Linked DNA regions of Mus musculus. The main gene of each other region encodes a partner of the protein of the gene in region 4 in a complex. Links are inferred from orthologs where the notes say so. Each region holds a gene or a part of one and is shown on either strand. Other genes may lie near its edges.

Region 1 (6,151 bases), on a different chromosome or scaffold from region 4:
CTAAGGAGCCTCCTCCCTGCCACTCTCCTGAGTCATGGAACTTAGATCCTATCTCTGTCTCTTAGCTTACTTTCCTATATAGCCTTGGCTCATGGGTTTGGTGCCTGGGAGTGGGGCTTAATTTTATTCAGTAGCCTGGTGCCTCATTCATCGAGCAAATAGTGTCATTATAGTTTCTCTTGATCTACTGATTTAAACGCAGGTTTCTACCCATTTTCATGATAACAAAGACCAAAGAAAACATTAATTTAAAAAGACCATCATCCTCACCACAATTCGTGCCTTTCAACGAAACACTTTAGTGCTTCTAATCATAAACCCAATATTTCTTCATTTGTTCAAGCTTATTTGTGCAGAAGAGTCTCTTTGAGACTGTAACAACTGAGAAAATACAAAATACAGGACCTCAAAATGATGAGGCTATACCATACAGTCTTTCTGATAAAAACAGCAGCTGTGGATAGGAAGGTAATATTTACATTACACGACACACAAGACATCAAAAGGTGAATGTTCTTAACCTTTAGGTAGAGGAATGTCTAGATGTTGTAGCTATGCTACAAACACACTATTGCTAGGTGTACAAAAAACAGGAGGTACCAATGCCAAGTCCTAAAGGATAAGTAGGAATTCTATCCATACAGAACGAAAAGGGACAGGGGCCCACATACATACAGGCTCAAAGACATTTAAAACTAACAAACAAATGAATGATGACTTCAAGTCATTCCCGTAAAGGAAGCACGTAGAAAATGAACATAAATGATGTGGACCCTAAGAGACTCACGAAGCTAAATCATGAAAGGCCTTCTATGGATACAGCAAATCTCTGAAATTTTCAATCACTGACATAAACACACACACACAGACACACACACAAAGCTAAGATAGTACCAGATACATAACATGTTCAAAATCTAAAAGTTTTGTAAGGGGAAGTGTATTAGTCAGGGTTCTCTAGAGTCACAGAACTTATGGATAATTTCTAAATAGTAAAGGAATTTATTGATGACTTACAGTCGGCAGCCCAATTCCCAACAATGGTTCAGTCGCAGCTGTGAATGGAAGTCCAAGGATCTAGCAGTTACTCAGTCTCACGCAGCAAGCAGGCGAAGGAGCAAGAGCAAGAGCTAGACTCCCTTCTTCCAATGTCCTTATATTGTCTCCAGCAAAAGGTGTAGCCCAGATTAAAGGTGTGTTCCACCACACCTTTAATCCTAAAGGTGTGTTCCACCACACCTTTAATCCCAGATGAAAGGCATAGCCCAGATTAAAGGTGTGTTCCTTAACTCGGAGATTCAATCTTCTGGAATCCATAGCCACTATGGCTCAAGATCTTCAAACCAAGATCCAGATAAGGATCTCCAAGCCTCCAGATAAGGGTCACTGGTGAGCCTTCCAATTCCGGATTGTAGTTCATTCCAAATATTGTCAAGTTGACAACCAGGAATAGCCACTACAGGAAGGTAACTTTAGATTATCTTAGATCCGAAGAGGAGTCAAGTTATTTTGACATCACATAAAGAATATTCCTCTACCCCTTATTCTTGGGGCCACCAAGCTGTCTGTCATTATCTGCATCAAGGCAGCACTAGTAGATGCTGTGTGCCCAAGAGGTAACTGGACCCGAATGTAGCATAGGCCTTCATCTTCACTTCATACTTTGTGTCTGCACTCCACAAGTCAAATCTGGTCCCCAGCTTTGTCAACAAAATCTGCTAACTTGCACAGATTGGTTAGAAATGACCTTTCATATCATTAGAAGTTATGTTTGTATACTTTTTTCTTCTGAGCATATTCTGGTGTAAAGGAAATATTACCATGTAGCCTCTAGACACCAAGCTCGACCACCCATCACAGAAGCTCTGATCTAGAAAGAGCCTCCCCTTGTAAAGTGATTCAGAGCACCCACAGGATAAATTTTCAAGGAGGAAGTATTGAACTTTGCCTGGCTTAAGCCACTACTGAGTTAGGCTCAAAGATAGATTAAAAACAGTTAATTCTGGGTCTCGCTTACTAAGTTATCAATTCTTTAATCATTGAAGCTTTTCCTAAAAAAGGATGCCCCACACTTTCTTTCCTTTCTGTTCACTGGCATTTACTAACATGGCACGATAGGCAAAGGCTTGTTTGAATCCACTCCCCTGCCCATGTGTGCTATCTTTTTAAAAAAAACATTTTAAAAAATGTCTTCAAAGTTTGTGCTGAGGTAAGCATTCAACTGTCTTCTCCCATGTTTACTTGGGAGGTGTAAGAAAAAGTGTTAACAAGCCTGAGAGTTTTCTGAAATCCTTAGTGCTCCATCGGCCTCCCTTGCTCGTAATTGTAGGGAACCTCAAAGTTGGCTCAAGACACTCCAAGAGCGTGTTCTCTGCACAAAGGAGACTTATTTGCCCCAGAAGGACAAAGGGCAAGAAACAGGAGACAAAGACAGGACACTAGGATGAGGGAGAAGGGGAAGGGAACAAGGGAGAGGGTAAAGGGGTATTTGTCCCAAGGGAACAAAGGACTGTCTCTGGATAGAGAGAAGACATACATATAGGAAAATATTAGCGTAGCGGGTAGAGGGGTTAGGCTGAGGTATTTAATTTAAATTGGGCATGTCAATTAGTTGACCCCAGAGAGGTTTTGGATTGTTGGACTTCAATGCTTTGATAGCTGGATCTCTGCAGGTTAGATCAGGGAACAGATCTTGGGGGCTAGCTTGAGGAATGTGATCTAACGGTTTTTAACAAGACACGGGGACTTGGGAAGGAGAGCCTTGTCCACCACATTCAAGCTGGCTAGAGTTCCTGCAGTAATTTCAGACTTACAGAGAAAACAAGGGAAATCTGACAGAAAAACCCTCAAAGACATTAGTTCCAATCTGCTGTATTACCGATAATCACTTCTTTCTGGAACTGGTCTATTTCCAGACTGAGTCTGACTGGGCCAGTCATGAACAAGGTAGGACTCAACTAAAATAACCAGTCTAAACCCGGCTAGCCCACACCTTTAATCCCAGCACTCAGAAAGCAGAGGCAGGCAGAACTCTTTAAATTTGAGGTCAGCCTGCTCTAAGGAGTGAGTTCCAAGACAGTCAAGACTACACAGAGAACAGGAAAAATAAATAAACAAAAGGCAGTTTAAATACAGAGCACAATTAACAGAAAAGGTAGCTCATTTTCACATGTATGGATCTTTTTTGCCTTCATATACATATAGGGACAGTTCAAGTTGCTGGTGCAAGTGGCTATCAGCAAGCAGGTATCCAGTCCCCTGAATCTGATATTATAATTTGTTGTGATCCATCTTGTGGGTGCTTGGATCGAACCTAGATCCCTCTGAAAGAGTGCTTTTAACCACTGGGCAAACTCACCAACGGCTTGCCGGGGCTCAGTTACTGTTTCTATTAATACCTTTCCCCAAATTATTCTTCCGGGGGGCGGGGGGGCGAGTTAAGTGGCTACAATGTATCAAAAAAGTCTTGCATTTAGAGCAGGTCAAACAGCTGGCACAGTGCTGTTTGTACTGTAGGGCCTGCAGCTCGCTAGGGGCAGGAACTGCAAACCCATGTTTGGAAGTTGCAAATAGTAGAGGCTTTTAGAGTTAAGGTTAACTACGTATGCGACCTAAACACAGAAGATGCGAAACATGGATCACTAGGGCTAAACATGACAGGGGTTCAGTCAAGTCAATGAAAACGATCCATAAATGAAAATGTAATAGAATTGGCTACTGGGATAAGCTGGAATGAGGCAAACGCGTTACCAGAATTTATTAATGCCAGCCCCGGGACGCCGACTGGGGACGCGACCCAGGGTGCTCCCAGGAGAGGTGTTCACCGACAACCCAGACCAAGGCCCAGACACGCACGCCCCGCCGCCGGCGCTAGGCCCAGCCGGCTCACACGGCACCTCGCGGGCCGCCGGTGGAGACGGCGCAGCCACATGAGGAAAGCAAGGCCCACCGGGCAAGCGCCCACTCGCAAGTCCCTGCCCTCTCCACGCGACCTAGCAACCCGCCGCCCCCACTCTGGCTCCTAGTCTATCCCGAGTCTTCAGAGTTCCGTAATTACCTAAAGCTCCACCGCGCCGCCATCATACCGGAAGAGCGTCAGTTCCCTTTCCCGGGTGAAAGTAGCGCGAGAAATTAGTGAAAAACTGGTAGTGAATTGGCAGGTATGTGATACGATTAATGATAATGCGGTATAGTAACACCTTGAGTCAAAGCAATCCAGCTAGTAACACTGTCATTCCTTACAAAGAACACGAGAAAAGAACATGTGAGTCCGAGTGAACTACAAAGTCCAGCATGCTCTGGCAGCGCGGACGGAAATGAGTTGTAGTTGGACCGCAGTGCATGACGGGAATTGTAGTTCGTTCGGATAGGAGGTCACACTAGAGACACTTTTGAGAGCTAGGTTTTCGAGGCATGCTTCTTATTCTAACACTACTCATCTTCTAAAGCCATAAAAAGTAGCTCTTAGTAGACACCGTAGCTTTTCTTTCTTTTTTTTTTTTTTCAGTGTAAAAGCTTAACACTAAGATACATACTATGAAACTACCGCAGAGGCTTACTATATAATACCTTGCCTGAAAATAATAAAAAAAGTAGCGATCCCTTTCAGATTTTTGACAGAAGCTTTACCAAAAGTCTGTTTGGGAGAAGAGGGGAAAGTGACAAAATGTTTAGTATCTATTAAGTTCCAAGATTTTAAATTCAAGTGAATGGAAGACTATCTGATTATAAATGATATGTTGTAAGGACAGTGAGAAGTAAATTGGAGGCCCAACATGGTGGTGTCTGCCTTTACTCCAAATATTTTGGAGGCTGAGACTGGCACTGTGTGTTCCAAGACATCCAGAGCTACATAATGAGCCCCTGTCTTGAAAGAGAGAGAGAGAGAGAGAGAGAGAGAGAGAGAGAGAGAGAGGAAGGTGAAAAAAGAAAAGAAGCAAGTTGCCTGGCGTGGTGGCACATGCCTTTAATCCCAGCACTCTGGAGGCAGAGGCAGGTGGATTTCTGAGTTCGAGGCCAGCCTGGTCTACAAAGTGAGTTCCAGGACAGCCAGGGCTATACAGAGAAACCCTGTCTCCGAAAATAAATAAATTAATTAATTAATTAAAAAATTAAAAAAAAAAGAAGCAAGTTGTATTTATGATACTTTCAGGGTTGGAATGTGAAATCTGTAACGAGTTTAGAGCACTGGCCTCAATTATACTGTTTCCTTAGTCTTTGATTTTCAGTGTTACCAAAAGGTAAGTGTTAAAGAGCATGCTAATGTGATTGGAAAGCTCTTCCTAAAACAACATCATCTTTATATTTCAAAGTATTTTGTAAACCAGGCCTGGCTTCTCCAAGAATTTTGTTTATTTTTTAAACAGGGACAAGGTCTCACTATGTAGCCCTGGCTGGCCTGGAACTTACTATGTAGACCAGGCTGGTCTTGAACTCACAGAGATCTGCCTGGCTCTGCTTCCTAGGGGCTGGCATCAAATGCCTGGGGCAGTAAGCTCTGCTTCTTTATTATAATTTTAGGGTGATTGAGCTTTCAGCCTTTTCCTAGAGATAGTATGACTTTGTTAGCGTTTCTCCTGCTATAAAGTGACACCATGACTACAGCAATTGTTATATTCAAACAAACAAACAAATGAACAAACAAACAGCCAATCTAATTGGCTTACAACAGAGGTTTATTCCATTATTGTGATGGTGGAATTCATGGTGGGGAGTTTTATGGCATCTAAGTAGTAGGGGGGCTAGAGAAGGAGTTGAGAATTCTATATCTAGATCCACAGACAGCAGGAGAAGACGTTCAAACACTGGCCAGGCGTGGGCATCTGAGAAGCCCACCTCAGTGACACACTTCCTTCCACTGCACCAAGTCTACCTCAACAAAGCCACACCTCCTAATTCCTGTGAGTCTATGTGGGCCATTTTTATTCAAACCCCCACAGGGTGTAAACAAAATAAAAATCCTGGGCTAGGCACTTTAATCCCATAATTTAAGAGGCAGACCTGTGTTCAAGTGTTCAAGGCCAGCCTGATCTATATAGTCAGTTCTCAGCCAGCCAAGGCTACGTAGTGAGCTTTTAATACTAGTACTTGGGAAGCAGAGGCAGATAGCTCTCTAAGAGTTTGAGGCTAGCCTGGTATACAGAGTGAGTTT
Region 2 (6,280 bases), on a different chromosome or scaffold from region 4:
CATGTATGGTGTACTGCTCTATATGTAGAGGCCACTAGTGAAGAGAGGCAGGGTTCCTGCTTTACTGGAATTTAGGTTCTAAGGTTAGTCAGACCGTAATAGTATTAGTAACAGCCAAATCTGACTCAACAAAGTCACTTGCTGAGATAGTTCTAAGCACTTTACAAAGTGATGTAATTACCATGGTAACAATAAAAATAAATCACCCTTACTTTTTGCACAAGGGATGGAAGATAGGAGAGGAAAGATAATTTGCCCAACTGTGCATAGCTAAGGAGGGCAGAACTGGGGTTAGAACCAAGAGAGCCTCATAGAAAATAGATACTTAGTCTCAATACTTTGCCTCTGACCACAAAGAAAAAAAGTGCATGAGGTAATATAAACAAAGAGTAAACCCAACTAGAGTTCAGCATTATGGAAATATAGAACTGGGTGCCATAAAGACACTTTTGCAAGGGAGGAAGTGGGGACCAGTAGAGATGTCAGGGGAAACCTCACAGAGGAAGCAGCACTAAGCTATGCCCTGAAGAACCGAGTTACAGGTGTCTTGGAGGCAGAGGTGAAGAACACAGTCCCAAGTCTTTAAAAACAGATGAATGCATGCCTGAACTTAAGTTGAAAGCCAGCCTGGGCTGCACTGTAAGAGCTTGGCTCAAAACTCAAATGAAACAATGGAATCCTGCCTTGTTGAAAGAAACAGAAATGTCCAGTTGAGTGTATCTTGAGTGTGGTGTGCCTGTGACTAAAGGCAGGCAGGAGGCAGACTGTGTAAGTAAAAGCAAGAGGCTGTTTTATCCTAAGTGTCAAAACCACTACCTGGTAATCTGAAAAAATCACTCTGTTTGTGCAAAACTAGGAAAGTCCCTATGAAAGCAATTACAAATCAAGAGGAAATGACAGTGGCCTGAAGGAGTGTGGTGACAAGCAAAGGAACTTCAGGGTAATTTTCACAATACTGGACAAGAGTGGCAGGTGAACAGGATGTGACGAGGGAAGGAAGAGGGTCTCCATCTTTGGGTTTGAGTCACTAATGTGAAAGCGGTGTCCTTTGTGTGAGGCTCAGGGCAAAAATATGAAGCTTTCACCTTCTACTTGGGGAGCGGGCACATTCGGGAGGGAGTGGGTTCTTTTCTAATTCTCTTTCTTCATTTAAAAGTTCCAAAGGAAGGACAGAAAAGAACGGAAATGTTCAATTTTAGGAGACCCTTCCACTTGAGATAAACTGGAGAACAGAATCCTCTTTACCGAGCATCGGCCGTCCCCAAGATCTCAATGATGGGGCACAAGACAACGTTGGCGAAGCCATCTTAATCCCATCTCGTGCTCCTCCTGGCAGTTAGGCCCACTGCTCCATAAATTGTCACTATCGTAAACGCTCACAAGCATCTCCCCTCACGCTACAACGCTTAATGCATATAGCTATATATCTATATATTTATATATCTTAACAAGCAATGCGACTATAACCCTTGCCTTCAAGGCTAGTGGTTTCGCAGGAATGGTACCTTTGGAAAGCTCGTGGCTGCCCCCGTACTTATTTGCGCCTTCTTCATATCCACTTAAGTGACAACTCTAGTCCCTAGGCTGCGGGGTCTACTGAGGAGCAGGAGCCGTTGGGTCGGTCAGTTGGCAAGCTCTCCTCACATCTCTCTTGCGAGACGCGGACCGGCTCCTGGCGCCTCCGTCCTCGCAGAACCGCAGCGAACGAGTCTGGGAGGGGGTCGGGAAAGGAAAAGACGCAAGAGAGATTAAGTAATTGGTTCGCAAAGGAAAAAAGATGATATTTGGGGTCGACTATGAAGCACCGGTTTCAAACGCCCGCCCCCTAAGCTGCCTTGGCTCCGCCCCTAGGCAACGTCATTCCATCTTTTTCCCGTGTCTTTGCTGATTGGTCACTGCGTCAGCCTGTGAGAGACGGTTTAAAAAAAAAAAAAAAAAAAACACACACACAACTCCGGAATTGCTTCCGGGTGTGGAGTTCGCATCTTCTCCACAGCCATTGGAAGTGCGAAGGTTTTGCTTCCGGGTCTCAACCGAGCCCCTGGTGTAAAAACTGGAAGCTCTGCATTTTGTTTCCGGTCTTGGGCCTGGCGCCCCCGGCGCCGAGATTTCTGGGAGCTAAGGGTCGCATTGGTTCATGAGTGAGTTTCGGAAGGTGCTGCGTAGGACCCCCGCCAGAGTGAGCAGCCGGGCATGGTGGTTTGTGGTTCTTGTGTGGGTGGCACCGGGGAGCCGAGTCGCCGCCGCAGCCCGTGACGATCGTACAGGCCGCGGTGCAGGGATGGTGGTCCGGAGCTGAAGCCGAGCCCGGGGCGGTCACCGGTGCAGCGCCTCAGACACTGAGAAAAGCAAAGGAGGGTGGGATGGGGAGAAACTCCCACTTCACACACGATCTGTGTGAGCAGCTGCTTAAGCTAACGGAGATTTAGTAGCCCTGCAGTTAGGCTGCAATTCTTATTTGACAGCTAAAAATGGCAAAGGTTCTCTTGTAGCCTAGGCTAGCTTCGAACTCCCGATTCTTTTGCTTTCACCTCCCAAGCTCTGGAATCACAGGAGTACCCCCATCATACCCAGTTCAGGATGGGTTCTTGATACTTGGTTGGGTGGAGTTCCGATTTTCTGAGCATCGCGGAAGTTACAGCCTTGATAAATGTTGTGGTAACTGCTTTAGAAGAAAATTGAGTCAACAAGATTCTGGGGTAATGGTTGCCCATGTAAATGTCACTGGGGACTTTAAACAAATTTTAACATAATAAGTTTGACTGTGACTTTAAAAGAAATTTGTTTTTTATTGGGTTCTTTGCTGTAGTGTGAGGTTTCTGGTAGAACAGCAAATCTTGGCCGGACAGTTACATTGTGAGATCCTATAATTAAAAAAAAAAAAAAAAAAGAATAAATTTTTTTTAAAAAAGAATAAAATAAAATCTCAGAGAAGCTAGTGCTAGTGGGATAACATTTTTTTAAGTCATTTATTTTAAAAGCTACACTACACTGTTGTGCAAGATCTGACATCATGTATGGGAATCTCATAATACTATAGAAATGTCGGCATTCCACAAATGACAGAAACGAGCTAGAAGACTTGCCCAGGGCTACCCAGCCAGAACAGAAGCACTAACTCAGATCTTCATAGTAGTTATTTATACTGAATAAGAGTTGCCTAGTAAACACCCTGAGTTTCATAATTCGGATTTTTAGGAACTTGTGTTGAAGCAAACTAAGCAATTTTGGGGAGTTTGAGAAGGATTTAAGAATAGATATTTTTGAGTTATCTGTAAAATGAAAGTATAACTTAAATTCACTTTTGCCGAAGACTAAAAGATGACAACAGCAGCCAGGCCAACTTTTGAACCTGCAAGAGGTGGGAGAGGAAAAGGAGAAGGGGATTTGAGCCAGCTCTCCAAGCAGTATTCAAGCAGAGATCTTCCCTCTCATACAAAGATAAAGTACAGGTAAGAAGGCCTTCATTTGTCTTGTTCACAGAATGGGACCAAGCCTCTCTCTATATATATGTATGTATATATATGACTTATGGTCATGTCTAAATTATAGTATTTAGGTTACTGATCTCCAAAGAGAAGTATTTCAAAAAAGTTTACAATAAAATTACGCCCTACAGGTAAAGTTGCTAGACAGTCTTCCAGCATAAGTTCCTTTGAACCAGGAATTGCTATGTGTAGATGAAGCACTCATTAGTCATGATAATCACATCAGAGAAGACGGAGCTGTAGTGAATATGGAAGTGTTGCTCTAACAGCCCTTGAATTGGTGGACTGTTTTAAAAAGCCGAAGACATGGGTTAGAGAGATTTCTCAGCAGTTAAGAGCACTGCTCTTCCAGAGGTCCAGAGTTCAATTCCTAGCAACCAGATGGTGGCTCACAACCATCGGAGGGGTCTGATGTCCTCTTCTGGTGTGTCTAAAGAGAGCAATGGTGTAGTCATATACATAAAATAAATAAATCTTTTTTTTTAAAAGCCAAAGACATTCTGTTGTAGGCAATTGTGTGCTTTAGTTTGTTGTTCTAGTGATAAGGAACACTACGAGTGTATTAACCCTCAGATTGGGATATTGTCTTATCTTCTTCCTTTTTGTTGTTGACAGACAGTTACATTCTGGATTGTCTTAAATTGTTGAAGCTATATAGGTTCTTTTCCTTGACAAGTGAGGCCAACATTTTTGACGTGTTTTGTTTTGTTTTTCCTACTTAAGACAAACCACACAGGATGCCCCTGAAGAGGTTCGAAACCGTGACTTCAGGAGAGAACTGGAAGAGAGAGAGAGAGCTGCTGCAAGGGACAAAAACAGGGACCGCCCAACTCGAGGTACCCGTACTGTCCGTCATGTCTGTCTCAGTTGTGTGCAGAAACTGTGTGTATCCTGGTAATTGGAAATAAGTAGCATTTTTGTGAGCTGTATCTCTTTGATGAATGATTAGAGATGAGAATGAGGTTTGTTCCAGTCCCATGCATTGATACTATCATGCATTGATACTAGGCCTTCTGTCTGGGACACCGAATGTAATTGAAGAGTTTTGAGAGAAGCATCAGTTATCCTTTTTGTGTTTCTACTACATGTGAGCATTGGGTAGGTCTCCTAAGATGCTGTGATCTGCATTCTCACTAATTCATTTCGTGTAAACCAACAAATATTTATCAAAGACTTACTTGCCAGTCACAGGGTGGATCCCGGGTGTCACTATGCTTTGTGTGGATTCTTTTTGCCCAAAGGTTTCTAAAATGGTTTTAAAAATTTAGTACTTGGGCTGGAGAGATGACTCAGTGGTTAAGAGCACCACCTCTTCCAGAGGTTCTGAGTTCAATTCCCAGCAACCACATGGTGGCTCACAACCATCTGTAATGGGGTCTGGTACCCTCTTCCAGTGTGTTAAAAGAGAGTAATGATGGTGTATTCATTAAATAAATAAGTAAATAAATAAATAAAAACCACTCTAGTACTTATTTCAATATGCTAAGTAAGTGTTTGTTTTCTTCAGAGCATACAACTTCCTCTTCAGTGTCAAAGAAGCCCCGCTTAGACCAGATTCCTGCTGCCAACCTTGATGCTGACGATCCTCTCACAGACGTATGTGTTTTAGTTTTGGGTTTGGGCTAGGTTTTGTTTGTTTGCTTGCTTGCTTGTTTTAAGCCCGCTTGGTGCTAGAACTGTGGGCCTCTGCCATTAGGCCCACCATATCATATTTTCCTAAAAAAACTTTAATACATTTTGGCTTTATGTTATGGAAATATATCACTGACCTCAACTTTAAAACAGGAAGTATTCTATGTCAAACACTGTTAGGACAGGTTTCATCTGGGGGGCTATGTGGAAGCAGTTTGTGAAAGCGGCTATGCCCACCCCTGACAGCATTATCAGTGGTGCGGGAGGTTAAGCTGCCTTGCTTTAACCACACGGAACACTGTCAGGATGAGTGCCCTCTGAACAGCACCATTGAGCATTGTACTTGATACTGCCCTTTATTTCCCTTTGATTTGATGCTCTGTTAGACACCTAGTGCTCATAGGCCCCTTAGTGATTAGAGAGGTAAGTAGTCTAAGCGGATAGAGCATAAACAGTCACTGGGACACAACTGCCTTTTCAGTTGTATGTAGCTCAGGCTGGTCTACTAATCACAGCCTTCCTGCCTCGTACCTCAACCTTCTGAGTAGTCGACTACACCTGACTTCCGACTGCAACTGAGCAGGCATGAGTGACCTTCCTTGAGTAGCATCTAATTGCGTATATGTGTCAACAGTTAGAACTGACTGATAGTTATTAAAATGAGAAGTCTTACAGTAAGTGAAATTCAGTTGTTCATTCCAAATATTTCTGTTGGAATCTTAGCACCCCTTTTTGCAGTTGCTCTTGCTAACTTAGTCATTTTGAGCTACATGAAACTACGTTAGCTCTTCAGGGTGAGACAGTGAACATAGTACCGTGTTTTATTGTGAAGTGTACTTGTTTTCCATTGGTACCATGTGAAAATCCTTTTTGACCATGTAAATACGAAAGGTACTTTATCAGGGGTTGACATTTTCGTAAGCATTCATAATTTGTTGTTGGGCTTTATTTATTATATTTCTAATGGTTATTGGTTTTAATTATGATATTTGAGTACTTTTCCCTTTAGGAAAATTTTTTTTCAAAGACGTCGTAAGTACAGTTTCTATGAGAAAGGTGAATAATGTATATTTTCTTTCTGATATCTCGGGTCACCTTGACTTGTCCCAGGAGGAAGATGAAGATTTTGAAGAGGAGAGCGATGACGATGATACTGCAGC
Region 3 (6,191 bases), about 51 Mb from region 4:
AAGCCAGTGAAGCAACAGAAGTGACCCTTACCTTATGTGACAATGAACTTCTTTTAGAGGACACATTCGGTTTCACTACTAAGTACGACAAGAGATTGACAGTGGTCACAGAAGCAGAGCAGATACACAGCCAGGTCAAATGAGCTTCCAATACTGAGAAGTTGTCCACGAAGAAGGACGGAATGAAAATGCTTAGGAAAATTGAAAATACGCACAAAAGATTGGTATACAGAAGTCTCTTGATGTCAGTATCTTTCATGATGTTTTCTTGGGTAGCTATCTAGTAGAAAACAAATTAAGAAAAACATGTAATGATTTTTTTTCCATTGTCCCAAGCACTTCAATACTCTAAATATAAACCATGTATTAATAATTTTCTATGGGCAACATATTTGTTTCAAAACACAGAACAAGCATATGCAGATTTTAATTGTTACTTTAGATTTCTCTAATATGGTATACATTATCTTTCAGAGCCTCAAAAAGAAAATTCCTGTAAAAATTTAAATATTTGTGACTGGTTTCTACAAAGGGGACATGTGCCAGACACCAGCAACTAATTTTACTTTTTTGGCGAAAATCACTGCAGTTCCCAAATGACAGCCAAGTATACACTTAGATATGCAAATGGTGGAGGACCATCTTAAGATGGTCATTATGCTACACTAAGGGCTCACACTGTCTGTACAGATGTTAAATAATGGTAATAGCAGAACGCGAGTGGGAGGAGAAACAATAGTTTCCAGTCTCTAAATACATATATTTGACCTAGAGAACAGTTTCTATGTTATACTGACTAAAGTTAATTAAGAACTTAAAAGTAACACATGTTACAATGTAGTAAAAATCGGGCCCAAAAAGTAACATCCACACCGCAGGGTGAGGAACTAGCAGGAAAGGTAAAAGCGCAAGTCTGGGCATGGTGCTATTAGCCCTCATTTCATTCACACTTATCGTTTTCAAAAGCAAATGATACTGATTAAGAAAACTGGATGAACAAGTTAGCAGATACGGCCAAGGTTACACACGCACAAGCCATTTCAAGCATCGCCTCTTTAAACAAGAAGAAATCCTCCAGGGTCGGGACAAGAACGCATAGCCGTGAAAAGACTTGGGGAAAGTTTCTCAGATTCTCCCTTCCACTGCGGGGTCAGGCAGGAAGCGCGATCAGAAATCCATCCTAGGCCACCGGCAAACACCCATCTAACACGGCGAGCGCGAGCGGTACCCAAACGCAAAGGTGACACCGGCGAGCGAGTCCCCGACCCAGGACACCACACCTGGGAAGCCGCCCTCGGGACTCGCGATCCCGTGAGAACGGGGTCGGAAGGCTTGGCTGCTCCCGAGCCCTCCTCCTGAGCAGCCTTTGCTCAGGTGCGGACCGCAGCTCCACCCCACCCAGGTGGCTCCGTCCCAGCCTCGGACGGCGCAGTGTGGGCAACTGGAGGTCGCCATCATAGAGAGAGCCCGTGCGGCCGACCCGGTGACCTGAGGTCGGAGTCCCCTGAGAGACTGTGATAGACGCCGGCATCTCAGAGGGTCGGTAGCGCAGGGCATCCTCTGGTCCGCCGGAAGCGTGGCGCCCTGGAAGTCACCGCAGCGGTCGGCGGTGCGACCTGCACCCGCCCCGGGCGAGTGTGAGAAGCAACCCGCCACCGGCTTACCTAACTCTCCCGCCCGCCGAAGGGAAGGGGGACACCACCGCCTCCCACCCTCAGGTGCTACAGGCTGGCATGGCCCCTGGCGCAGGCGCAGACCAGAAAGCGAGGGGGCGGGGGGAACTCACAAGCGCACAGCCAATCGTTGACGAGAAGGGGCGGGATAATGAGAGCAGCCCCGCCCATCAGCTCGCGTTTATCCCTCCCGCGACTTTCTAGGTACGGGATAGGCCGGAGCGGGAGGGCTGAGAGTCCGGAAGCGGGCTGACGTAGCCGGAAGAGGAAGTCGTCTCCGCTGGGGCGTTGTTGTGTTTGGGTTGCTGCTCCTGCTTTGCCGGCTGAGGGCACAGGGACACCCCCATGTAAGGATGGTGTGTGAAAAGTGTAAGTTCAGGGGCTGCTTCTGGGGGAGGTGGAGGGCTGAGAAGTTCTCTCGGGATTTCTCTGGTTTTCCCCTGCTGGTCTGTGGCGTAACCGGTGTCTTCCTACCCTGCCCCTCGGCCCTTCTTGCCTGTCCCGTAAGCATAGCCTTCCGCTCTGTGTTGAGAATGGCTTCAGTTCTGCGCCTCTTGTGTTTGTTTCTGTTGTCGTCCTCGCGCCCCTTCTGGGTCTCCTCCGTTACAACTTCTTGATTGGCTCTCGGAGGCTTAAATCGGATCTTCACGATCTTTCTGGTAGCATCAAGAGTTGACAGATGTCACAAGTATAAGTTCCAGGCTCTCGGTTACATCTTAAGATTATAAGCAATGGTTAATTTCCAGTATTATTAATATGTCCCGAATAATGTTTAAATCTTGACTTTCTGCTTTTCCTTACTACAAAACATGCCGCATTTAATACAGATTTTATTTATTTATTTATTTATTTTTGGTTTTTCGAGACAGGGTTTCTCTGTGTAGCCCTGGCTGTCCTGGAACTCACTCTGTAAACCAGGCTGGCCTCGAACTCAGAAATCCGCCTGCCTCTGCCTCCCCAGTGCTGGGATTAAAGGCGTGCACCACCACCGCCCGGCTAGATTTTATTTTAAAAATTACTTCAGTGGCTATCTGAAATTAAGTTAAATTGGATATTTTGAGCCATCCCGTCAATTCATTAATACTCACAGCTTTGGGTCAGGTGAAGGAGAGAGTCTCATCACCACCAAAGAAATCTTTAAGTAGTCACCCCTGGCTTTTAGAAAGGTCTTTTTAACCCTTTTAGTTACCATTCAGTAATTCCAATGAAACCCTTAAGATTTGTTGTAAATATTTAATTTTTTTTTTTTTGGTAGCTGCAAAAGCTGATGATTCGTTTAAAAACAACTTTCTTCTCTTGATCTCTTTCATGGGCTAGACAGCCTTCTCTGACAAGATTCAACCCACATCTCAGTTACTGGCGGATATACAGGACCCATTTTGTTCATAGCCCCTCAGTATGTAGAACTCTGGACACAGACACCCCTCCAGAGCTGTGCCATTCTTAAACGGTTTTTTATTCTTTTCGAAAGTGGGATAAATGGTTAATTAAATGTGGCTTAAATGTATTTAGATTGTGAAGCCGTCCTTTGTGCTGTGCCCTGAAAGGTCATTTCCTCTGCTCTTCTGAGAAATCTAAGGTCTTATTATCTGTAGCCTCTCAGTCTGTCTGCTCATTGCATGCACCCCGTAAGTAAACTGAGGTACTTGCATACAGAAGCTGTAATGTCAGCAGCCGCCTCAGTTCAGTCTTCCCTTGTATCACACATTATTCGAGAAAGTTACTTTTCTCCAATTTTTTAGAGTTACCTCTTAGAACTTGGCACGTACGTGTTCTCCAGTTGTGCATTTACTGAGTTCCAGGGAGTTTGGTTTCAGTGTGCTTTCTTTTCCTTGTTCTGTTAGGTGTTTGAGGACTGTTTGGCCTCAGCTGGCACATCCATACCACTGAGCATCCAGTGCTCTTCTCCACCCTGAACAGTGCCCTACTTAAACAGTACTAAGTAACTGTCCATTTGGAGCATATAAATACAATATATTTATCATTTTAAATTGCTTTGTTTTCATCAGAACCTTGCATGGTGCTTTGTACAGACTAGGTGATTAGAGAATGTGAGAGAGAGGAATGAATAAGTTTGTCAGAACTGCTTAAAGTATAATCAGTTAAAGCCTGTTACTAGAGCATCGTTTTGTCCTGTAAGTTTTATTTAGAACCAGTATCTGTTGCCCACTGTTACTATCTTAAGTTTTCATTCATTGGTTTCTACCCTGGCATTAGTAGGTTCCTCCTATAATCTGACTTCATATCGTTATGTACTTTAGGCGATACAATATATTTATCATTTTAAATTATTATTGTAAAGTTAGCAAAGAAATGGGTTTTGTTATTTTATTTCCACACAGTTTGCTTATTAGATGACAGCTGTTCTCTTTTGCTGTCTTGGCGACCACAGGTGAAAAGAAACTCGGCAGAGTTATCACTCCAGACACATGGAAAGATGGTGCCCGGAACACCACAGGTACTGTTTGCTGTTAGGAGACAGGAGCTGGGTCAAGCGCTGTGGCCCTGCTCTGGTGCGTCACATTTTGCACAGTGCAGTGTTAGATGCTGATTACCTTGCCCAGTAAACACCGAGGGCTCGGTTCTCCTGGGAGTGCACATCTTTCTTCATCATCTGAGTTACATGTACGGATTCCTCATATAGTCAAGAAGTAGTAAAATTATTATTTCAATGTATGTCTATTTGATTCAGATTGGTAAAGTCTGTGTTTACATTTCCTTCCCACATCTAAGTTTTACATTCTCAAACAAATTTAGACTGCCTTACTTTTTTTTTTTATTAAACGCATACAGCAAAGCCCAGTGCAGTGATGCATGCCTTTAATCCCAGTACTTGAGAGGCAGAGGCAAGCGGATTTCTGAGTTCGAGGCCAGCCTGGTCTATCTACAAAGTGAGTTCCAGGACAGCCAGGGCTATACAGAGAAGCCCTGTCTCGAAAAACAAAAACAAAACAAAACAAACAAACAAACAAAAAAAAACCAAAGTAGACAGATGTTACACATACAAAAAGAGTGTAGGCATTGTCAAAGCACTACTTTAAGACTGAACAATAAAGCAATTATACAGTGTTCATTAAAAACTGGGCTATTATATGAAGATTTTTAAAAATTACAATAAGGGTCTGTGATGGTTTGTATATTCTTGTACCAGGGAGGTGTGGCCTGGTTGGAGTAGGTGTGTCACTGTGGATGTGGCCTTAAGATCCTCACCCTAGTTGCCTGGAAGTCAGTCTTCCACTAGCAGCCTTTGGATGAAGAGGTAGGACTCTAAGCTCTGCCTGCACCAATACCTCCCTGGAAACTGCCATGCTCCCACCTTGATGATAATGGACTGAACCTCTGAACCTGTAAGCCAGCGCCAATTAAATGTTTGTTTTTTTTTTGTTTTGTTTTTTTGGTTTTTTTTTTGTAAGACTTGCCTTGGTCATGGTGTCTGTTCACAGCAGTAAAACCCTAACTAAGACAGAAGTTGGTACCAGGAGTGGGGTATTGCTGTGATAGGCCTGACCATGCTTTTATTTGAAAGAATGTGGATTTTTGGACTTTGGATTTGGAACTCAGTGGAATGCTTTAAATGGGGCTTAGTGGGTCATCCTAGTAGGAATCTGGAAGACTTTGTTGCTGGGAGTAACTGTGTTGACCTGGCCCAAGAGATTTCAAAGGAGAAGAATTTCAGTATGTGGCATAAAGACTGTTTTTGTGGTATTTTGGTGAAGAATGTGGCTACTTTTTGCCCTTGTCTGAAAAGTCTGCCTGAGGCTAAGGTGAAGAGACTCAGATTAATTGCATTGACAAAGGAAGTTCCAAAAAAGCCCAGCAGAGACTTTGTTCTCTGGTTAAGTCTCATAAAGAGAAGTTTGAACAAGCATAGCAAGCTTAGAAAGGAAAAATATAAAATATATGGTTCGAGTATTAAAGGCATACTAGGAAGTGAAATAGAGCAAAAACCTGTGTTCTAGGAAATAACAGATTAAGGGAGTGGGACCTTGGGGCAAGATCCTACCAGCTAAATTTAGATCCAGGCCTGGTGGTACATACCTTTAATCCCATGAGACAGGCATGCTGATCTCTGCGTTCAAGGTCAATCTACAGAGCAAGATCCAGGATAGCCAAGCTTAGGCAGTGAAGGATTTGGAAAACATAAAGCCAGTGATAATGTAATAGTACAAGCGGGTCATGTTCTAGTTCCTGCAAGCAACAGAACTTGGCAGCTTCAGCCATGTGGCTCTGGCTCTAGAGTTAAGAATGGAAGGAACTACTGGGACAATTGATGCTGGTTAGCTGGAGCTAAGAAATTAGCAGTGATTAAGAAGAGATCAGCATCACTGAGGTGAAATCTTGTGGGAAGTATTTTCTGGGAGCACAAAGAAGCTGTGTTCCAGAGATAGCCAAGGTTGTACCTCTTGCTGCAGCTGGACTTGGTATTGTGTAAGAATCACCCAGGTGGTACTGGTTTTGAAGGCATGAAAGTGTCATGAAGAACAGCTGAAGCTTGACACTGTGAGAGGCCATGGAAGG
Region 4 (5,533 bases):
CTTGGGCGTGTGGCACATAGACATACACGCAGGCAAAACTTTTATACACACACAGTAAGTCTTAGAAAAGAAGAAGATGTTCCCCTGCTGTGTTTGGGATCAGGATCTGTGTCTGCTCTCAGTTGGTTTTTGCGGTTTCTCTTTGGCTTTATCCTCTTCCTACCCCGCTCAAGGTATAGCTGTTCAGAAGAGATCCTGACCGTGGCTGCTATGCTGTCTGTCAACAATTCCATCTTCTACCGGCCCAAGGATAAGGTTGTCCATGCCGACAATGCCCGTGTCAACTTCTTCCTCCCTGGTGGAGACCACCTGGTTCTGCTAAATGTGTACACACAGGTCACTGGGCAAGTGGAAATTTGGGAAGTCTGGGGGATTTGAGTCCTGCTGTGTACTTAAGGCACTTCATCTTCACAGTGGGCTGAGAGTGGCTACTCTTCCCAATGGTGCTATGAAAACTTTGTACAGTTCAGATCCATGCGCCGAGCCCGGGATGTGCGGGAACAACTGGAGGGGCTCTTGGAGCGTGTGGAAGTTGGCTTGACTTCTTGCCAAGGTGACTACGTTCGTGTGAGAAAGGTCAGTGTTTTTGATGTTGTTATTTTCTTTTTTCTCCTATTTGCTCTTCTTTTTTTTTTTTCAAGTCAGGGTTTGTCTGTGCAGCCCTGGTTGTCCTGGAACTCACTCTGAAGGCCAAACTGACCTTAAACTCAGAGATCCACCTGCCTCTGCTTCCCATGTTTTGGGTTTAAAGGTGTGTGCCATCACCACCTGGCATCCCATTTTTTCTTTCATGTGTATGTGTAAGTGCATGTGTAAGTCAATGGACAACCTGCAGGAGTCACTTTGTTGTGTGACAAAACTTTTCCTGAGGAGAGCCTACACACATCTCTCACCCCAGATAGGGAGCCCATGACAGACCAAAGTACGAATACCACCAAAGTCTAACTTGATGAACCAATAAGTTTATTTGGTTTACTTATAGCAATATGGGTGGGGGATTACTGGGTTACTTGCAGAAATGTCTAAACGATAGCATCACCAAAGCCCATCCCAGTATAGGTGGCTGCTCACAAAAGCTGAGCGCCCTGGATCACATCGCACAGCTTCAGGCTCCTCATCACGTTGGAAGGTGTCCTTTCCAAGTGACTTGGTTGGTCTACACCTCTTTTAGCTAACTTCATTGGTTTCTGTTTCTTCCAAGCAGCTGGTCAGATCTCAAGATTCTGCAGTTTGGCCAGGCATGGTGGTGCACGCCTTTAATCCCAGCACTCAGAAGGCAGAGGCAGGTGGATTTCTTGAGTTCGAGGCCAGCCTGGTCTACAAAGTGAATTCCAGGACAGCCAGGGCTACACAGAGAAACCCTGTCTCGAGAAACCAAAAAAAAAAAAAAAAAAAAAAAGACTCTGCAGTTTGATTTGTCTGAGGGGGACACAACACTTATAGCTTTCTCTAGCAGGAGGGACTTCCTGAAGCAGGTTAAAGAGCAGTGTGGTATGTTTCAAACTCAGAAGAAACTGTTAATATACTTCATTCATTCACATCACTGCATCTCCAGATTAGCACTTCTTTTTTTTTTTTTTGGTTTTTCAAGACAGGGTTTCTCTGTGTAGCCCTGGCTGTCCTGGAACTCACTCTGTAGACCAGGCTGGCCTCGAACTCAGAAATCCACCTGCCTCTGCCTCCAGAGTGCTGGGATTAAAGGTGTGCGGCTTCAGACTAGCGTTTCTTGAATCCACTACTGAGGGGCCACAGCAGCTTCCTGGCCTTCGGTTTCTCCAGGGTATTGTTTATTGGAGCCCATTCTTCCCTAGATAGCACATCAAGTGGGTCCTTCACTGAGTCCTCACCTTTTTAGTGGTGCCTGACCTGGTTTTCTTGCCTGCTCCTTAGGCCATCACTTCGGGTTATTTTTACCACACTGCGAGGCTGACTCGGAGCGGCTACCGCACAGTGAAGCAGCAGCAGACAGTGTTTATTCATCCCAACTCCTCTCTCTTTGAACAACAGCCACGCTGGTTGCTCTACCATGAGCTTGTCTTGACCACAAAGGAATTCATGAGACAAGTAAGGGACTATTGCTTGCTCAGATGTGTGGAAATGGGGGACAAATGTTGGCATCTTAAATTCAATTCATGTGGATGGGACTGGCATGGAAACATGAAGGTCCATTAATTTAAAGTAGGGTCAAATGTAATCAGATATAAATTAGGTTTAATGTTTGCTTGGGTTGGAGCTCAGTGGTATAGTCCTCAGCACCTTTACAAGTAAATATAGGAAATCTTCCAAGATCTGAGAATTATAACTCAGTAAATATTTGAAGCTGGGCTTGATGGAGTAAGTCTGAAGTCCCTGGTACTCAAGAAGGTAAGGCAGGAGGGTCATCTATTCAAGGTCTATGGAGGCAACATAGACGCTTCCTCAAAATGAAAGTGTGGGCTGGAGAGATGGCTCAGTGGTTTAGAGCACTCACCGTTCCTGCAGAGGTCCCAGGTTTGGTTCCCAGCACCCACATGGTAGGCAGTTTACAAGTGCATATAGTGCAGCTGCAGGGATCCTGACTTCCTCTGCTGGCCTCTGCAGGCATGGTATCCATGCATAGACACATATATCAAAAGTAAAAAAAACATAACTGGAGAGATGGATCTTCAGCTCATCTCATTCAGAGCACTAGCAGCGGCCCTTCTACAGGATGCTGGTTCAATTCCCAGCATCCACATGGTAGCTCATCTGCCTGGAACTCCAGTTCCAGGGATCTGACAAGTAGTATACAAACATGTGCAGGCAAAACACCAATGTACATAAAAATTTTAAAAATATGGACAAAATACAGGCAGAGCTGAGGAAATTAATGTTTGTATAGCAAGCATGAGGCCCTTGGTTCTGGAATAAATAAAATGTGCACCAAGTACTGGGCCATACCACACATTAAGCAGCTGAAGTCTGTCCTGTCTTCCTTGCAGGTCTTTCTCAGGCTCACGTAAGCGCATGTCAGGGTCAGTCTGCCCTGCTAGTGAGAAGTAGCCAGGTGTAGACCAGGCTGGCCTCGAACTCAGAAATCCGCCTGCCTCTGCCTCCTGAGTTGTTTTTTTGTTTTTTTTTGTTTTTGGACCGGGTGTCTTTTTCTTGTCCTGAGTCAGTGGGGAAGAGGATCCTTTTTAGACCACACAATTAAAATTCTGATTTGAGCCGGGTGTGGTGGCACAAGCCTTTAATCCCAGCACTTGGGAGGCAGAGGCAGGCAGATTTCTGAGTTCGAGGCCAGCCTGGTCTACAAAGTGAGTTCCAGGGCAGCCAGGGCTACACAGAGAAACCCTGTCTCGAAAAACCAAAAAAAAAAAAAAAAAATCTGATTTGGAAGTAAAGGAACCCTATTGATTTCTGCTCCCTCTTACAGGTACTGGAGATTGAAAGCAGCTGGCTTTTGGAAGTGGCTCCCCACTACTATAAGGCCAAGGAGCTAGAAGATCCCCATGCTAAGAAAATGCCCAAAAAAGTCGGCAAGACACGAGAAGAGCTGGGCTAGAGAGTGACATGGACCAAACCTTGCAGCTCTTTTTTCCTTCCATACTTTAATATCTAGTAAATAAAATTATTTTTGGAATGAAGTGCATGGGAACTCTGGAACCCAGAGAAAGTGACGTGAAAACCTGCCTTATGTCATTGCTTAAACTTTATTATTTACAAGTTAAATTACACAGCAGCTTTACCCAGCATGATGGAAAGAAGGAAGGAGAGTGGAGGGTGGCGGCTGGCTCTGGACATTCTCGTCCACCCCCACCTCCTTTTGTGCGTAGCAGTCCTCAGTGCAGCCTTTCACCCACGTCTGCATCAGGCCTTGGAGCACAGGTGTAAGCTGGGCTCTGGTTCTGACAGCCCCAGGGCCACCAGGGCTCCCACCAGCAGCTTTTTCACAGGCGTCGACGGTGAGTGTGAAGGCATCAGCTGCAGAGACAGGTTAATGGAGGCTGGGGAGGAACACAGACATGTTCTACCCTTTACCCCTCCCAACACTCACCTTGTCCAGGTGATGGCGACAGATGAGGCCACTGGAATTCAGGTAGAAGGTGGAAAAGGCATCGAAGGTCCTGGGAAGGGGAGAGGCATCGTGCAGAGGGAGGTAAGCTACAGTCAGACCGAAGGCCCTCCACACAACACAAATCTTCCCAGGACCTAGCAAGCCTGTCTCCCCCTTCTTTTATGTAAATGTGTTTGTGTTTTCAGTGTCAATAGGCCACCAAGAGGACCAAAGATCAGGGCTAAGCTCATGAGTCACTTGGTTCCTCCCAGTTAGTCTTTTTGTTGTTTTAGATTCGTGTACAAAGTGTCCATTTTCATTATCCTATTCTTGAACCTGACTTTCCTTCCCCTGCCTCTGTCTGGGTTATTGGCTCTCTCTTCTCAGGGCTGGGCAGCTAGAAAGGACAGAGGACAGGAAATTCTCTTAGGGTGAGGTGTTCCTACTGAGGCTGGCTGTGGCTTTGGAGACTGAGCAGAGGGAGGCACAAGACTTTGTCTCATACCTAGGAACCATCTGGGGGAAGCCAAGGAGCCTAGTACAGAGCAGGACCTGTTTAAGTGCATGTGCCAGTACAGAAGACAATGAACGGTCATCTCCTCCATCACGTGGGACCCAAGTACTGAATGGAGGTTGTCAGGCTTGGAGGCAAGCACTTTTACCCAATGAACCATCTCACCCGCCCAGGTATCAGTCATTTAAATGTTTAAGTACAATGTTAGAGGCTTGAGCCTAATAATTTTGGGGGATGTACCATCCAGAAACTTAATCACGTACTCTACCTAGAGTTAAATTCAGGACACAGTGTTTTTGCTCACTGGTTTCTGAAGTGAGTTCATGCATGCCAGACTGGCCTTTAACTACTGATCCTCCAGGAAGTTCTTTGTTCAATAACTAAGTACTTAACACCCATCAGGTCCAAGTAATATAAGAAACTCAAAGTCAGAGCTGATTTCTTTTTTTTTTTTTAATTTTATTTAATGTATGTGTGCTCTGCTGCATATATATCTGCCTATCTGAAGAGGGCATCAGATCCCCCTATAGATGGTTGTGAGCCACCATGTGGTTGCTGGTAATTGAATTCATGACCTCTGGAAGAGTGGCCAGTGCTCTTAGCCACTGAGTTCTTTTTTCTTTTTTTGGTTGTTTTTTTTTTTTTTTTTTTTTTTTTTTTTCCCGAGACAGGGTTTCTCTGTATAGCCCTGGCTGTACTAGAACTCACTTGGTAGACCAGGCTGGCCTCGAACTCAGAAATCCACCTGCCTCTGCCTTCCAAGAGCTGGGATTAAAGGCGTGCGCCACCACCGCCCGGCTAGCCACTGAGTTCTTTTTTTTTTTTTTTTTTTTTTTTAAAGATTTATTTATTTATTATATGTAAGTACACTGTAGCTGTCTTCAGACACACCAGAAGAGGGAGTCAGATCTCATTATGGGTGGTTGTGAGCCACCATGTGGTTGCTGGGATTTGAACTCAGGACCTTTGGAAGAGCAGTTGGGTGCTCTTACCTGTTGAGCCAT

What was found. Proteins that work in one complex are often made in the same cells at the same time.
Region 1: Dhx16 (region 4) and Cwc22 share a complex: the UniProt entries of both Homo sapiens proteins name them as parts of the minor spliceosome. The link is inferred for Mus musculus from reciprocal best matches to the Homo sapiens genes DHX16 and CWC22.
Region 2: Dhx16 (region 4) and Cwc15 share a complex: the UniProt entries of both Homo sapiens proteins name them as parts of the minor spliceosome. The link is inferred for Mus musculus from reciprocal best matches to the Homo sapiens genes DHX16 and CWC15.
Region 3: Dhx16 (region 4) and Cript share a complex: the UniProt entries of both Homo sapiens proteins name them as parts of the minor spliceosome. The link is inferred for Mus musculus from reciprocal best matches to the Homo sapiens genes DHX16 and CRIPT.

The regions. Positions count from the first base shown.
Region 1 is NC_000068.7:77,942,093-77,948,243, forward strand, and holds the start of Cwc22 (pre-mRNA-splicing factor CWC22 homolog), read right to left. Parts: upstream 4,265-6,151; 5' UTR 4,058-4,264; intron 4,054-4,057; exon of another isoform or gene 1,018-4,053; intron 1-1,017. UniProt on the Homo sapiens protein: Required for pre-mRNA splicing as component of the spliceosome. As a component of the minor spliceosome, involved in the splicing of U12-type introns in pre-mRNAs. Promotes exon-junction complex (EJC) assembly.
Region 2 is NC_000075.6:14,498,603-14,504,882, forward strand, and holds the start of Cwc15 (spliceosome-associated protein CWC15 homolog), read left to right. Parts: upstream 1-2,016; 5' UTR 2,017-2,179; intron 2,180-3,313; 5' UTR 3,314-3,321; coding exon 3,322-3,452; intron 3,453-4,211; coding exon 4,212-4,324; intron 4,325-4,995; coding exon 4,996-5,084; intron 5,085-6,230; coding exon 6,231-6,280. UniProt on the Homo sapiens protein: Involved in pre-mRNA splicing as component of the spliceosome. Component of the PRP19-CDC5L complex that forms an integral part of the spliceosome and is required for activating pre-mRNA splicing.
Region 3 is NC_000083.6:87,023,634-87,029,824, forward strand, and holds the start of Cript (cysteine-rich PDZ-binding protein), read left to right. Parts: upstream 1-1,927; 5' UTR 1,928-2,026; coding exon 2,027-2,042; intron 2,043-4,065; coding exon 4,066-4,131; intron 4,132-6,191. Other genes in the region: Pigf (phosphatidylinositol-glycan biosynthesis class F protein), read right to left, coding at 32-259. UniProt on the Homo sapiens protein: As a component of the minor spliceosome, involved in the splicing of U12-type introns in pre-mRNAs. Involved in the cytoskeletal anchoring of DLG4 in excitatory synapses.
Region 4 is NC_000083.6:35,889,025-35,894,557, forward strand, and holds the end of Dhx16 (pre-mRNA-splicing factor ATP-dependent RNA helicase DHX16), read left to right. Parts: intron 1-173; coding exon 174-336; intron 337-414; coding exon 415-576; intron 577-1,890; coding exon 1,891-2,064; intron 2,065-3,394; coding exon 3,395-3,523; 3' UTR 3,524-3,646; downstream 3,647-5,533. Other genes in the region: 2310061I04Rik (uncharacterized protein C6orf136 homolog), read right to left, coding at 3,829-3,942, 4,016-4,085. UniProt on the Homo sapiens protein: Required for pre-mRNA splicing as a component of the spliceosome. Contributes to pre-mRNA splicing after spliceosome formation and prior to the first transesterification reaction.